Linked DNA regions of Tribolium castaneum. The protein of the gene in region 1 purifies or fractionates together with the protein of each later gene. This does not show direct contact. Links are inferred from orthologs where the notes say so. Each region holds a gene or a part of one and is shown in the gene's direction. Other genes may lie near its edges.

Region 1 (8,174 bases):
CGCGAAAAATATCGCTAACATATTGCTGCTTTTGTTTTGCATTCAACAAAAATCGCGAATTGTTTTTGATTCAAACGCGGGTTATTAGAAACGTGGCTCAACGTGGTCTTTTAAATGCCATAAAAATTATTACAGAATAGAATTATTACAATCTTTTCTTTTTTAGAATCTTTAGTCAGAAGTTACTACTGAGTTTGTTGTCCTAGTCCTTTGGATCGATGTTGCTAGTCTAATAATAACCAACCTAACAATATTTAAAATCACAAAAGGGAGAAAATCAGATGTAGTTATTTGTTGTAATTATTTATTAATTGCTGTTACTTATTACTTTGCATTACTTGGAAATTTTGAAACACAATAAATCAGAATGAATGTGTATTTAAAGCTTAAACGTTGACAAAATTTCTCTTTGTTTTCTAACTGATAAAAATTAATACTAATAAATTTCTAACTATACTTCACAGTAATGTAAAATTGGCATAGATTACTTTGCAATTTATTTTTTTGAAAATAAAATGGTGACACTACAGCAAGATGCGCTGTTTCTTAAATAGACTTCTGTTTGTTTAACAAATTAGTTACTTTTTGATAAAATATAAATAAAGTAAACGATAACGATGTAAAATAATTAAACTACCTTTTGAAGCTCATAAAAAGACTTCACTTTAATACACCTGATAAACTTGAAACTATAAATTAACCCTATTCCAAGGTAACCATTTTTTCAAATTACCCACGACCATTGATGTTGCCAGCAATAAAGTGAGAGTGATCTGAGATCTTGGAATTTTCTCATGCATGCAGTGAATGGTAACGTTTCATTAATTAATTGGTTCCAATAATCTAATTCTACTTAGTTACAAAAACTGGCATATTGGCCTCATTGCTCCAATTAAACCTAAATCAATAATTTGATCATCGTTAGTTATAATTACGTCTTCTTCACATCGTAAACACTCTTTTAACGCTCCGAAAAATTAATTAAACTTTAATTCGATTTTTTATCACCAATTTAATGGATCTAGAGACATTTCGGTGAAGTTTATTATTGGTTACTGCAAAAATAAATCAAAATTATGCTATGCGATTAGACAAAAATTAAGTGGATTTGAATATTTGTGTCAGAGTGGGTTGATTTCCGCAGTGCTTATGATAATGTGATAAATTAAATCGTTTTCCCATAGTCAGAAGATACCCAAATTTTAGTTTCTAATTTGAATAATCAGAAACATATTCATGTAGTGGAAACAATAACGGATACGGCGTATTATGAAAATTAATTGGTGCCATAAATTTAGGTAATAATCATTGAAAAAACAATCCAAACAATTTCGCTTGAATGGACATATGATATTTAGGCGTGGGATGCAAATACACCAATTTTTTTTTATTTACTAAAGTAACATTACGCCAATTCATAAATTAGAGATTAAGTTACGATTAACCTTGGTTTAGCATAAAAGGTGTTACCGATTTTCTATTGATTTATTATGAAAATACGTAACAAAAATTAATTCTGCTCCTGTTACAAAAAACAAAAGATCATAAATTTATTGTTTCCTGTGTGTGGTATGCCACAAATGTTGCCGTTGCCATTTTCGTCTCACTGAACATGCAAATGAAGCTTTTAATTTTTTCCCGACTGCACTATATAACAATCCAATTAACCAAACTGAATCTGAGAGTGAAAGTACGACCTATTACTTCCAACAACTGGTTATATTGTTATTTTGAACAGTTGGGAGTGCGGCGACTTTTATAAAAATCATGATCGAAAGTTGAACACTGTAAAAATCACTTCCATGTACGGAACTTTTTTATTTTTGCAATATCTATTTTGCTCGATAGCAAATTTAAGGCTTGGTCACACTTTTGTAGTTATCTCTGGTAAACATTTTTTTACTTTCATACATTTCCAATGACGAAAGCACACATTTCGTTACAATACCGTTATGTCCTCAAACTTGGCCGTCTAAAGTTCAAACAAATTCCGTAAAACGTAATCTCGTTTGTTTTTCCAATTTAGCATTCAAGAACATTGAATTATTGTCGCTCGAACGGAACATTTTCATGCAATTTGCGGCGGAATAACGAAATGTAGGGCTTGACAGTGGCGATTGATAGCATCCGTTTCGATGTCAAAGACCCATTTTTGCCATGATTCATTCGATAATCATTCCTTCATAAACATTTATCTTGTCTAGAGCTTATCATCACATTATTGTGTTAATTTCAGGGTGCCAAGGTATGGATACCTCACCCTGAAAAAGTATGGGAAGGCGCTGAACTTGAAGAAGACTACAAAACGAACAAAAAGTCACTTGAAGTAGTAACAGAAAACAACGAAAAGAAAACCCTTACGATCAAATCAGAATCGGATTTACCCTGTCTGAGGAACCCTTCAATTTTAGTCGGGGAAAATGACCTTACATCCCTCTCCTACTTACACGAGCCCGCCGTACTTTACAATTTACAAGTACGGTTCTGCCAAAATCGATACATTTACACCTATTGTGGGATTGTTTTGGTGGCAATTAATCCCTACGATGATCTTCCTATTTATGGTGAGTTGTTAAAACCGTTATGTTACGAGGAAAAGTGCTAATTGCCTGACACAAATATGCATGAATGGATTTTTTCTGTCCGTGAATACGTAATGAATTTATTAATTAAATGGAATTTAGCGAATCTGTGCCAGTATTTTTGCAAACCTACAAAAACAGTTTCTGTTTACTACAAAAATAAATATACCGTGATTCTTTGTTGATTTTAACGGCTACTTTAAAATAAACAATGTTGCATACACAATTTTATTATTAATTTATTTTCATTGAAAATTGACCCACATAACTGAAGGCATATTGACCGAGTGTTTGTTGATATTGATTTTTACGTCTGCAATGTGGGGGTTTGTTTGGACGTTATATTACAACAACTAATTAAAACAAACAATGCTTTTTCTATTTGCGAGCTTATGAAACAGTGACTACAAGAAGGCCTCTCACGTCTTAAGTGACATTCTAATAAGACCGTTTCCTTTGTTTTGAAGGAAAAACCCAAACAATTTACAAAGTTGCGAGTCTTCAGAGAAACCGCAAGAATACTACAAACTACAATTCAGAGCATGACTTATTTTGTCGCTTCAAATTCACGCAATTTGAAAAAATAACTGATTAAAATTTAAATCGAAAAACCTACGTGTACCTAGTACGAGTTGTATTTATTCGTCCTACTATTAAAACCCAAAAGGCTAAAGGTAAAATCAGATACGCTGTCAGTGAGTAAAAGAATTATTATTAAAAGTAAACTGGCTGCACCCACGTGAACTAAAATCAAGGTTGGGAAATTAAGTAGAATAAAAAACAGCGTACTTACCGTACTAATTAAAATAAACAATTTTTTATAACGATCCATGCCGATGCATGTGAAAACGATATTAAATTGCGAGCTTTGAACTAATTTTTTCACATTTTTACTATTTCTACCAACCTAACTGCCAAAAGTTAAAAAAAGTCGTCGACTTTCTCCATTTTAAACTATCTATTAGGTGACAAAAATTCGCCCTGTAAAAATCCACCGCTTCAAAATAAATTATTAGCAATTAAAATTAAAAGAAATAAAATGTCACAAAAACGTCTAGACTCTGTAATTTGGTCCATTGTATTCATAGGGATTTTACTTTCTATATCGCGAATCTTAAAATGTTACGAAAAATTTGAAAGTTGAGACTCGTGAAACATTCACTCGATGAATTGTGGGAAACAGGAATTAAAACTTTAAGGTGTACCAGAGGCATTATATCTGTTTTTCTTGTATCTTTTGATTATTCCTATTTACAATTAGATTGGTATAATTTAGGACTACACCAACGGTCAAATGCTGGTGGGAACCAAAATTAGTTACTCACATCCTGTAATCATTTTGCAGTAATAGACTTTAATACCGGTTTTATAACGAAATTAAAATTGTCAAGGTATTAGCGAACGCTCATTGTTTATATCATGCTATTATCACCGCGATAACACCTACAATTTGCGATAAATAATATGACTCATGTTGTGCAAACACGAGAGTAAGTAAATAACCGCAAAATTAGAAAAATCGTGCATATCGTAAGACGATATTTAATCTTTTAGCTACACATAAAAATAATGGAACAGCACACACCGCAACGATATTAAAACAACGTTAGTAATAATTTGCTACAAAATTTTGTTTGTTAAACAGAACTAGTAAAAACCATGAGAGATTGATGGCATTTTCGATGCCTTTCAAGGATAGTAAAATTATAGCCTGGCATATGCCATGCATAACTTGTATTGCATGTGCACAAATTTATGCAAGTAATCCATACTATATTGTATCATACCCACTTATTTCTTCCAACAAGCAATGATTTAAAAATGAAAATAAACGAGACATGGTTGTACAAGAAAGAATAATTTATTAAATCGTCTTGGCTCGCACTATTGTTGCAGTTTACTTTATTTCCTTTACTTTTTTATTTAAATTAGAAATAAAATAATGTATGCAGAAGCACGGCCGTATATGTCGTTAATTTTTATTGCTAAGATGATTAATTATTTTAAAAAGGTCACAAGTTTGATTTAAATTTAAAAAAGCGGAACCAAAGGCCACAACTCTCTCTTCAGACTGTTTTACAAGCAGGATCATTAAAGGTCTAAGACTCTATGGCAGTTCATCAACTCCACCTTTGACCTGTTAATTTTTGAAATACTTGTAATCACACTTTGTCTCGTACAAGAGTCAAGACAACTTTTCGCACAAGAAATTTAAAGCCATTTCACGCCAATAAATTATAAACTACCATCGCGTATAATGTCAGTAATTTAGCACATCGGGACGACCTCTGGGTCTGAATAATTTAACCGCAATGGTGATTGCAACTCGCTGGCACATTTTCATGGTCTTTGGGCCAAAATTCACCAGTTCACTGTTGTGTGCAAAAACCGTTTCACACACAATCATCGTGTCTTTTAGACGTCGACACCATACAAACGTATAGAGGTCAAGCGATGGGTGACCTAGATCCTCACATATTCGCCGTAGCCGAAGAAGCGTACACGAAACTAGAAAGAGAGCAAAGGGACCAAAGCATAATCGTATCAGGAGAAAGCGGAGCCGGTAAAACGGTTTCCGCGAAATACGCAATGAGATACTTCGCGACTGTAGGAGGAAGTGCGACCGAAACCCAAGTCGAAAAAAAAGTCCTAGCTAGTAGTCCTATCATGGAAGTAATAAAGATAAACACAGTGGTAACCTAGTTATTTACATTTTGAATCATAGGCCATCGGAAACGCGAAAACTACAAGAAACGATAACAGTTCGCGATTTGGAAAGTTTATAGAACTCCAGTTTAATAAGCAATTTCATATTAGCGGAGCGTCGATGAGAACGTACCTCTTGGAAAAATCGCGAGTCGTCTTTCAGGCTCCCGATGAACGGAATTACCATATTTTCTACCAATTGTGTTCCGCGAGAGACCAATTTCCACACTTGCATCTCGCTCACCAAGATAGTTTTTATTATTTAAATCAAGGAGAAAGTCCAAATGTGGACGGAGTCGACGATTTACAAACCTTCGAAGAGACGCTCTATGCGTTGAATCTTTTAGGGTTTAAGAAATCGGATCTGGACGATATGTTTAAAATTATAGCCTCCGTCTTGCATTTGGGAAATATCAAGTTTGTTGAATCGATCATTTCCACGGAAAACGAACAAGACCAGGAGGGTTGTAGCATACTGGTGAGCACTTCCCGCAAACTTGCATTATGTAAAATCAAATCTGATGTAGGGCACTGACTCACATTTGAAAATCTTAGCGGAATTACTCGAGATCGATTCAAAAGAAATGCAGCAGTGGCTCTGTACCCGAAAAATCGTCTCTATGAGAGAGGTCTTCCTGAAACCAATGTCCGTCGAAGACGCGCAAGCTGCCCGTGATGCTTTAGCAAAACACATTTATGCAGAATTGTTCAACTGGATCGTGTTAGTTATAAACAAAGCTTTAGAATCCGACATTCCTAGACATAAATTTATCGGAGTCCTCGATATCTACGGTTTCGAAACCTTCGAAACCAATTCCTTTGAACAATTTTGTATCAATTACGCCAACGAAAAACTCCAACAACAATTCAACCTCCACGTGTTTAAACTGGAGCAGGAGGAATACATTAAAGAAGGAATTGAATGGAAAATGATTGATTTCTACGACAACCAACCCTGCATCGACCTCATCGAAACAAAATTAGGGATTTTAGATTTGCTAGACGAGGAGTGTCGGGTAAGTTGTTTAAAAAATTCCAGACAAACTAATAAAAAAATCAGATGCCGCGAGGTACTGACAGTTCCTGGACGGAGAAACTGTACTCAAAGTGCGCAAAGTATTCCCACTTCGGCAAGGCGCGTTTCGGCACTTCTGCCTTCACCATCAATCACTTTGCCGATAAAGTCCAATACGAAAGCAACGGTTTTCTGGAGAAAAACCGCGACACCGTAATCGAGGAGCAAATCTCGGTGGTGAAAAGGAGCAAAAACGATCTAGTCCGCCGGCTTTTCGGCGACGATTCTCAAAAATTGGCCGTTCCGGGAGCCAAACTCAAAGTGATCTCGGCCAAACCTGCCCCAACCTCGCAAAAAACCCACAAGAAATCGGTGGGGTCCCAGTTTAGAGACTCGCTTAATATGCTAATGACCACGTTGAACGCCACAACCCCGCATTACGTCCGGTGTATTAAGCCAAACGATTCGAAAAAACCGTTTGAGTATAACCCGAAACGGGCGGTGCAACAACTGCGAGCTTGTGGCGTGTTGGAGACGATCAGGATTTCGGCAGCCGGGTTTCCGAGTCGGTGGACTTACGTTGATTTCTTCTACCGGTACCGAGTCTTGTGCAAGTTTAAAGATATCAAAAGAAACGACATGCAGCTCACTTGCCAGAATATACTGAACCAGTATATTAAAAACAAGGATATGTTTCAATTCGGGAAAACTAAGATTTTTTTCCGGGCCGGACAAGTCGCCTATTTGGAGAAATTAAGAGCCGATAAACTCAAAGCCTGTTGCATCATGATGCAAAAAACAATCCGGGCGTTCATTTGGAGGAAAAAGTACCTCCGAATCAAGCGCTGCACTATCAATATACAACGGTATGGACGGGGTTATTTGGCCCGAAAACTGGCCGAAAATTTGCGGCGCGAGAAAGCCGCAAAGACTTTGCAGAGATATGTTCGAGGATGGGTGAAACGTGTCCAATATCAAAGACTGAAGGCCTGTGTGACTGGCATTCAAAGGTATGCCAGAGGGTATTTAGCGAGACGGCGGTACATGCAATTACGGTACAACGCCAAAGCTCTGGTAATACAGCGATATGTAAGAGGGTATTTAGCACGGAGAAGTGCCCTGGCTTACAAGCGGAAAATCGTCATATGCCAAGCTGCGATTCGCCGCTTTTTGGCTAGAAGATTATACAAGAAACTCAGAATCGAAGCAAGATCAATCGAACACGTCAAGAAACTTAACAAAGGCTTGGAGAACAAGATCATCAGTTTGCAGCAAAAGATTGACGAAATTACGAAACAAAACGCGGAATTGATGACTTATAAGGCCGGAGTTAACGAGCTGAAGTAATGATTTTTGTATTAGGGTCGAACTATTACTAATGCTTTTTTTCAGGAATAAATTGACGGCGTTCAAAGCGAATGAGGCTGAAATTAAGAACTTGAACGCTCGTCTGATTGAGAAAGACAAAGTCATTGATAAATTGAAGGAGGATCTTAAGTTGGAACGGGACGAAAAAATTGACTTGATTAACGAACATGAGAAATATCGACAAGAAACGCAAAAGCAGCGTGATTTATGGACGCAGGAAACAAACAAATTGCGTAAAGAGCTAGACAATATCAACGAGATCGTTAAAATGAACCAGAAGGGAGCCGAAGAAAATCTCAAAGTGCGACTCGAAGAGGAGAAAATGTTGATTTTGAATGAGCAAGATAGTGATAGGGAAGCCTACCAGAAGCTTTTACAAGAGTACCATTGCTTGGAACAACACTGCGAAGAACTAGAGAAGCAGTTGAACAATCAGAGCCAAAACCAAAGTTCCCACCGAAGAAATGTGAGCGATCTTAGCAGCATTGACAGTTTTGTTATCA
Region 2 (7,752 bases), about 2.1 Mb from region 1:
TTTAATTGCATATTTTAAATTAATTTAATGCTACAATTTGAAAAGAATTATTAAAATTTTGTGTTTATAAAATGTTTTGTTGGTAATACGCATAATTAACTATTTACGTAATGTTTGTAAGTTATAAAATGTGCTTCATGACCTCCCTTTTATTAACTTGTGCACTATGTAATGTGGGTACAATGGGATCAACCTTACTGATTGCAAAGATGATAAATGTATGTATGCAAAGCACTTGTGCATAGCTCAGTAAGAATAGGGCAAAAAAACTTGTAAAGCAGAGGAAACAAGCATGCGAATAGACGTTAATAATTAAATGAAATTTTAATGTAAATCAAACTATTATATTAATTCTAGTATTCTAGCAATCTATCAGTTCACATTGTCATAATTTCAAAAGAGTTCTGTAGGAAAAACGTGTAGGTACAACTGACTGAATTAGACAAAAATGTGAAATTGTCTCTTTACAAATTACTTACGAAATTAAATTCACCGTTAGTAATTATAACAGGTTTTGCCTCATTATTTAAAAATATTTTATATAATATGTGTGATTTTATGCCGAAATTTGAAACATTCAGAAGTCGTTAATGTGTCGTTAGAATTTGTGAAAGAATTTATTTTGCAAAATAAAAAGTTTCTAAAACGTTTCACTTTTCGAACATTTTAATCTCGCTTATTTCTCTCAGTAGAGTATTTTGTAGAAATTTTATTTCTTTTTTTCCATAATGCTCTCTTCTACGTATAATATTGATTTTTTCTAAATATAGCTTTCTCTTCAAAGCACTTTAAAACTTAATAACCGCTCTCACAATTTCTTAATAGAATATTGTTTATAGAACCATCATCTTAACACCGCTTAATCACTAATAACAGCAATCTAAAATCAGATATTATGTTGCAATAAACGCTATAAACATACATAAATATTAAGAAATTTGTCAGAATATGTTAAATTTTATTGGTATAGCAGCTACTTAACATTGATAGAAACACAAATTCTGATAAATTATTATTGCCGATAACTTAATGACAGTATCTAGTTTCAGGTGTTCCTTGTTAGTGGTATCTCTAAACCATAAAATTCTGAATCCATTAATCATTCATCAATTAGCTCTAAATTATCCTAATTGAGATAAATAGTACATTCTGTCCACTTTTTACAAATTATTATTTTTGGACGGTGCTAAATCAATCAGATAATATTCAAATTAAAGTAAATCTTTTCGACTGCAATAATAACCTGTGCAATTTGCTACCGGTTAATTGGAAAAGCATAAGTACGACCCTGAACTGTCTCCGCTGATTGTACTATTAGATCAACTATGGGCGTAGGAATTTAACGTACTTTTTAAAATCACTTTTACTTCTGTTAATTTAATTTAAAACAACTTAATACCGGATCAAAACAATTTCAAACAACCCATAAATCATTCCGGCTTTTGTAAACTAATTGTGGGCAGTCGTAGCACAGGTGCCCCGTTCAAGAGCAAAGTCAATGACGTGCTTCTGGGCAAAATTACCAAAATTCGGTAATTTCTAACGCAAGATTGATAATATCTTAATTTGCACCGGTCGCAAATTAACATTGTAAACAAAATAAAAAAGTTAAGGGCTTGGCCCAGCTCTGATAATGGCCAAATCTTTATAATTAAAAATCCTGACCCTGAAATACTTTCTACATTATAACAAGTTTTTTTCCCACATATTTTATCCGCCAGTCCATACAATATAAGTAAAATTCCAGACAAAAGGCGCCTTCATTAGGAGTTACTCCTTCTGAGTGGGCTCCTGCCAAACAAGGCTAACCAAACCGATTTCCTACCGATATTGCAGCAAGAATAATTTACAACACTCGCAAAGTGCAACAGTCAGTGACTTTCTTCGACTGCAGGGCCGCGAAAAGGACACCGACATTGCCTTTTCTTTTATTTGTCTTTCAAATTTTGTTCTCTGTTATGGCGATTGTTACGTTTTATTATCCGGTTAAACTTGACTCCGCTTTTAAAGCCACTGCCGGCTGTAATGATTTTATCATGTCATAATGAGAATCTGTTTGCTGACATTTGATCGCGAATTTTATACGTGCGTATGCATTTTACATAAATATCTCACACACCTGTTTAATAGGGCGTGCGAAGGGATGGGCGCAAACGACCACAAATTAAAATTTAAACCGCATAATAAAGCAAACTCCTGCACACGGCGATTCCAAAGGAAGAAAATTACATAACAGGTTCATAGATATACAAATTTATGCACCTTTTAATTTGTTGATCTCGTTTTTATCAAACTGCAATCTGCATCGATAAGGCGGGTCGAATTTTATTTTTCTATTTTTATTACTCATTTTCCCGCACCTTTGTTTTATTAAATATAAAATTATAGTTTATTTTTATTATAGTTTATTTAATTTGCCAGTTAAATTTTCAATTTTAGTTTTAAATAAATTATTTACCACAATTTGTAGCATTGTCAAAATCTTGAATAATATACATACATTACCATGTGTATAAGGTGCGAAATGTTACACCCTGCCTGAAATGTATATTTTTGAATAATCCAGTAGATCCAGTACTTACCTGATTAAAGCTAGTTAAGTAATTTATTTTTTATTTTGCTCGTATTTGGTTCAAGATGCAAATATTTATAAATACTTACGTTAGCGCTCTCCTCATTAAAAATAGCTGTTTTAAAAGAAATAAAAATAAGAAACCAATATTTTATTGAGTAGAAATAAAAAAGCACTCAGAGACATTAAAAAGGTGGGACAGAAAGGTTTCATATGTGGAGCACCGTTTGAATTATGCAGGCGCCTCCTCCTTCGTGGGAAAACGATCACATTCTAAGCGTTTCCTCCAGCTCTGATTGAAATATCAAGGTCATAAGACCATGGCTTACTTCGACGCGGCAATTGCTACTATACACAGGAAATTTAATTTGCATAATAGCGCACATGACATACCGATTCTTCCCTAAAATAGACCGCTACCAATTTTACCCAATTAACCTGTCCAATTAAGCATCGATCTGACATTGTTTTTGGAGAACTTTGCCTTGGTTTCGATTCAGTTAATCTAATTATCGAAAATAACTATATTTACACGCTTAATGTAAATTATTGTAAATGATTAGCATTGCAATCAGCAACGAGACGTCAGTCCAAGACTCGAGCGGTTCGCGTAATTATTCAAAATTATGCGACACTTATCTTTATTCAGCAGATCGCTTCAGGTTCGTTTTTTCAGGTGTACATTGCACTTTACGATACTTTCATAAGACATTTCAGCTCGTTCACGTGGCTGATCATGAATTCAGTACATATATTGTTCACCTTGTAGGTATCTTTATGATGGATTTAATTACTTTGAAAATGTGGTTTAGTCACATCATTTCGACATTTCGAGCGCTTCCGGATGTCCATGAAACGAACGCCAAAGAAGCTAAACCATTTTTTGCATAAATTTAATTAAATCGGTGATATTTCAAAATTGTCGCGGTTGCATCAATCCAAATTCCAGAATTCAAAGTGAGCGCCGTGGTGTATTGTTGGTGGCCTGTTTTATCATTGCATTCAACTGGTATCGTTTGACAGTTATTCAGTGTATGCAAATCAAACATGGTAAGTTATTTCACTTAAAATAATAAATTTCGCTGTGAAACAGCGTATTGGTGGTGTAAGTCATTAACGAGCACTTTGCTTTATTGCAGGCAAACTACACAGAGGACCAGATGGCCGGTAAGTAAAGAGAAGTGCAAAACTAGGCTATGTAGCCCCGCCTTACATTCTTCCTCACACATATCACGGTCTTATTTGTACAGTTTCGCTCTATTTCCCCAACAGTTTTTTCAAATAAACTCATTTTTACCATGTGCACTCACTTCCATTTAATTTTCAACCCCAGTAAACATGCAAATAACGCACAAAACCAAAAAATAGTAGGGCATGAACCAGCCCCCAACACCGATGATTCATACTGCCAATTTCATCCTTATATGGTACTGTTTTGAAAGTGACCACGATTTCATCAAACCCATTTAGTAAAACGCAGATGTTCATCAGCAGTCTCCGCATTAACCCACAATGTACCTTTACGAACCCCCCAGTAAACTAACCCTAACTTCAGTCGAAGGTAATTAGTGGTGAGCTTGGCAAAGCTAAATTTGTGCCTATTTTAGAGTTCCAAGAGGCCTTCCAACTGTTCGACAACAGGGGCGATGGCAAAATCCACGTGTCGCAAATCGGGGACGCGCTAAGGGCCTTGGGGCAAAACCCCACAGAGTCCGACGTGAAAAAATACACCCATCAACATAAGCCCGACGAGAGGGTTTCTTTCGAAGTTTTCTTGCCCATCTACCAACAGATTTCTAAGTCAAGGAGCGCCGACACGGCTGATGATTTTATTGAGGGGCTTCGCCACTTCGATAAGGACGGAAATGGGTACATTAGTTCAGCGGAGTTGCGACACCTGCTTACCACCCTTGGGGAGAAACTGACTGATGACGAGGTTGAGCAGCTGCTGCAAGGGCAAGAGGATTCACAGGGAAATGTTAACTATGAAGAGTTTGTTAAGTTGATTATGTCCGGATAATCGGTTGGAGTCCAGGGTAGATCTTTTGGGGTGCATTTAAACTAATTTATTTATAGCCATATTTTAACTTTGATGACTTTTCTGTTTTATAGTGCCTTCATTCCAATTTTATTATAGTATAGAGGCATTTTATTAGTCATTGTACTTATAGGTCCAATATTTGTAATAATTTACCCATTTTTCACTGAGGTTGTTAAGAGCATGTGAGTTCATAATAACCAATAAAAGTATATAATACACATAATTGTTTTATTTTTATCCGTACCTGATTGAAACAATGCATTTTATCCCAATTTGGAGTGGAAAAATATTGCGCAATAACCCAATAAGCAATTTTGCTAACCTATTTCATGTGAGGTGAATTTCTGTAACTGGTCAGTTGTAAGTGCTTAAATCAAAGTATTAAATAACTATTGTGTAATAAGGGATTAATAACGGATTTATTTAAATACGTTTCGTACAAGTGAGGTTAGGAGTTTGAAGTAAAATTGGCAAAATCAGCCTGCAGTCCCTCGGCGTTATCTCAAATTTGCAAAAACAAATGCTCACCTTGAAGCGCGTCTTTGCCGCTTTTTTTCGAATTTTTCTGCCTTTTTGCGGAAGATGCCGGTAGCTGTGCGCCAGATGCTAAGAATTGGCGCCAAAGAAGTGCTAGCGGGCCGAATTCGCGCCTTTTTCGTCAAACCGTCTCGTGCTTTCGTCCACTCAACAACCCCTCAAGAATCCGAAGAAAAGAAAATGCCTACATCTAGTCTTGTCTTGAAATACACCAAAGTGGTCCCCGAGGCCTACCCTCCGACCAAAGGTTCAGTTAAAGCCGCCGGTTATGATCTGAAGAGTGCTTTCGACTGCGTGGTCCCAGCCCGAGGTAAGGCCCTCGTGGACACCGGCATCAAAATCCAGCTCCCGGAAGGGTGCTACGGACGGATCGCCCCTAGGTCGGGTCTAGCAGTCAAGAATTTCATCGATGTTGGCGGTAAGTTGGTTTTTTTAGTTGAGGGCGTGATAACGATGCGAAATTTAGCCGGGGTCGTGGATGAGGACTACAGGGGGGTCCTCAAGGTGGTCCTATTCAACCATTCAGATACTGCCTTTGAAGTCAAGAGTGGCGACCGCATTGCACAGCTAATTTGTGAGCGGATCTATTACCCCGATATCGAGGAAGTTCAAGTAAGTTTTTTGGCAGAAAAAACGTTTTCTTAGATTAAATTACAGGAACTCAGTGAAACGGCCCGTGGAGAAGGCGGATTTGGCTCTACCGGTACCAATTAATTTTAGAAGTATTGTTCGAAACTCAAGCTTTTCTGTGTTAAATATGTGTTCCTGGTTATGTTTCAATAAATCGTTTTACCCCTTTCTTTCATAATTTGTGTTTTTTTGTCTTTTGAGACTTAACCTCTACCAGTCATCAGTTCTTAAATACTGATTTATTAAATGGAAAAAATCAAGGACAGTATTGAGGAATAAGGAATTAAGCTTTCCGTTTTAGAGGACTGCAGTGGTACAGTTTAATTTATTAATTCTGGTTGATTTGCGTTAGAATTTCAAAAATTTGAAAATTTTTCCGATAATGTAGGTAATTTTCTTACCGACACCGGTTGTCGGAAAAATGGCGAATGAAGTGCAGTTGGCCCAAACGGCTTTGCCGGAGGGAGATACAATTTTTGGGAAAATATTACGTAAAGAAATCCCTTGCAATTTTATTTACGAAGACAACTTGGTAGGTGTCAGCTACTGTTGGATTTTTTGAGGTAAAAATGCCATTTTAGTGCGTTGCATTTGACGACATAAACCCGCAAGCCCCCGTCCATTTCTTGGTGATTCCGCGCAAGCCTATCCCTCAGCTGTCCAAGGCTGAAGACAACGATGGACCTCTTCTAGGACACTTGCTAATCGTCGCTCGGAAAATCGCCCAAAAACGGAATTTGAAAAATGGTTTTCGTATTGTGATCAATGACGGCCCAATTGGGGCCCAGTCTGTGTATCATATTCACGTGCACGTTTTGTCCGGCAGACAGCTCCAATGGCCCCCTGGCTAACTCTCAGTGGCTTTAATTCAGTTTTAATTAGCTTGTAATTTACATGTATGTGCTGGTTTTGTGTTTGGGAGAAATAAAACCAAGACTTAGTAAATTAACGGCTATATATTTTTCGTCAAGTAAAATGCATATAATTTGGTAATTGCCAGATACAAACTATACTTATGCAATAAACGAAATAATATAGTACAAATATGAGCTTATAACATCAATTGTGATTCACAAGATGGATCAGCTAAAAAACTTGTAACAAACACTACAAAATAAAACCTAAACATCACGGTATGTGACATCGAATTCACACGAAAACAACTCCATCAATACAGCTTAAAAACAACTGTTGTTACTGCTGCAAATGCACAACATAATTAATTGCAAAAATTTCAGCAGCACCAATTTTGTTCCTTTATTTATGCTGTGACCTGTATACTTTGTACTTAAACCAATTTAATACTTGCAATCATTTCAAGGTCCACAACATGGTTAAACAATTGAATTACAGGGTATGGTCACGTACAAAAAATGTCTCCACAAGGAGCATTGTTCTCAATATCGTGACTATCAGATTTTTATTTTAATGCTTCAAGTGGGAACACTTGCTGGATGTGACTGGATACAAGGCCCGCCTTGTATGTCCTCATTTACAACAAATAATCCTGGGTCAGTTTATTGATCAACACAGTTCTAATCTTAGAAATAAATTTCTGGAACAACTTCAAGTTTAGCGCACAATGAACTGACAAACAATTACCAAAGCAAATACCATAATTAGATAAAATATTTACGTATTAACTGGATGGGATTAAAACAGTTATTCTAGCATTCAGTCTTTTATAATACATAAAAAAGTTGTTTCAGAGGTGTCCAAAAGCCAAAAGTACACACCTGGGGAGCCCAATAAATTGCTCTCAAGCTTGATGTGGAAGAAGCAGTGGCGTAACATAGGAACTTTGCTAATAAATTGGAATAGCAAAATGTTTTTTTTTTCAATTTTGACTGTATAGAACCTTAAGCAAATCTCACTTTCCCACTCAATTAAACGTCATGTTCGGTTTTTCGAAGCTAAATGCGACAAATGAACGAATAATAAAAAAAAGAACGCATGATAGTTCAAAATTAAA

Evidence for each region. The genes of interacting proteins can lie anywhere in the genome.
Region 2: the proteins of didum (region 1) and Mlc-c purify together in Drosophila melanogaster (affinity purification with mass spectrometry; 3 studies listed by BioGRID, with this or other methods). This does not show direct contact. The link is inferred for Tribolium castaneum from reciprocal best matches to the Drosophila melanogaster genes didum and Mlc-c.

What each region holds. Positions count from the first base shown.
Region 1 is NC_087396.1:13,116,636-13,124,809, forward strand, and holds part of didum (unconventional myosin-Va), read left to right. Parts: intron 1-2,236; coding exon 2,237-2,564; intron 2,565-5,001; coding exon 5,002-5,255; intron 5,256-5,307; coding exon 5,308-5,766; intron 5,767-5,815; coding exon 5,816-6,304; intron 6,305-6,348; coding exon 6,349-7,646; intron 7,647-7,695; coding exon 7,696-8,174.
Region 2 is NC_087396.1:11,012,277-11,020,028, reverse strand, and holds Mlc-c (myosin-2 essential light chain), read left to right. Parts: upstream 1-3,739; intron 3,740-4,042; 5' UTR 4,043-4,084; coding exon 4,085-4,133; intron 4,134-4,179; coding exon 4,180-4,592; 3' UTR 4,593-4,836; downstream 4,837-7,752. Other genes in the region: dUTPase (deoxyuridine 5'-triphosphate nucleotidohydrolase), read left to right, coding at 5,196-5,568, 5,617-5,762, 5,808-5,864; adenosine 5'-monophosphoramidase HINT1, read left to right, coding at 6,202-6,312, 6,362-6,631.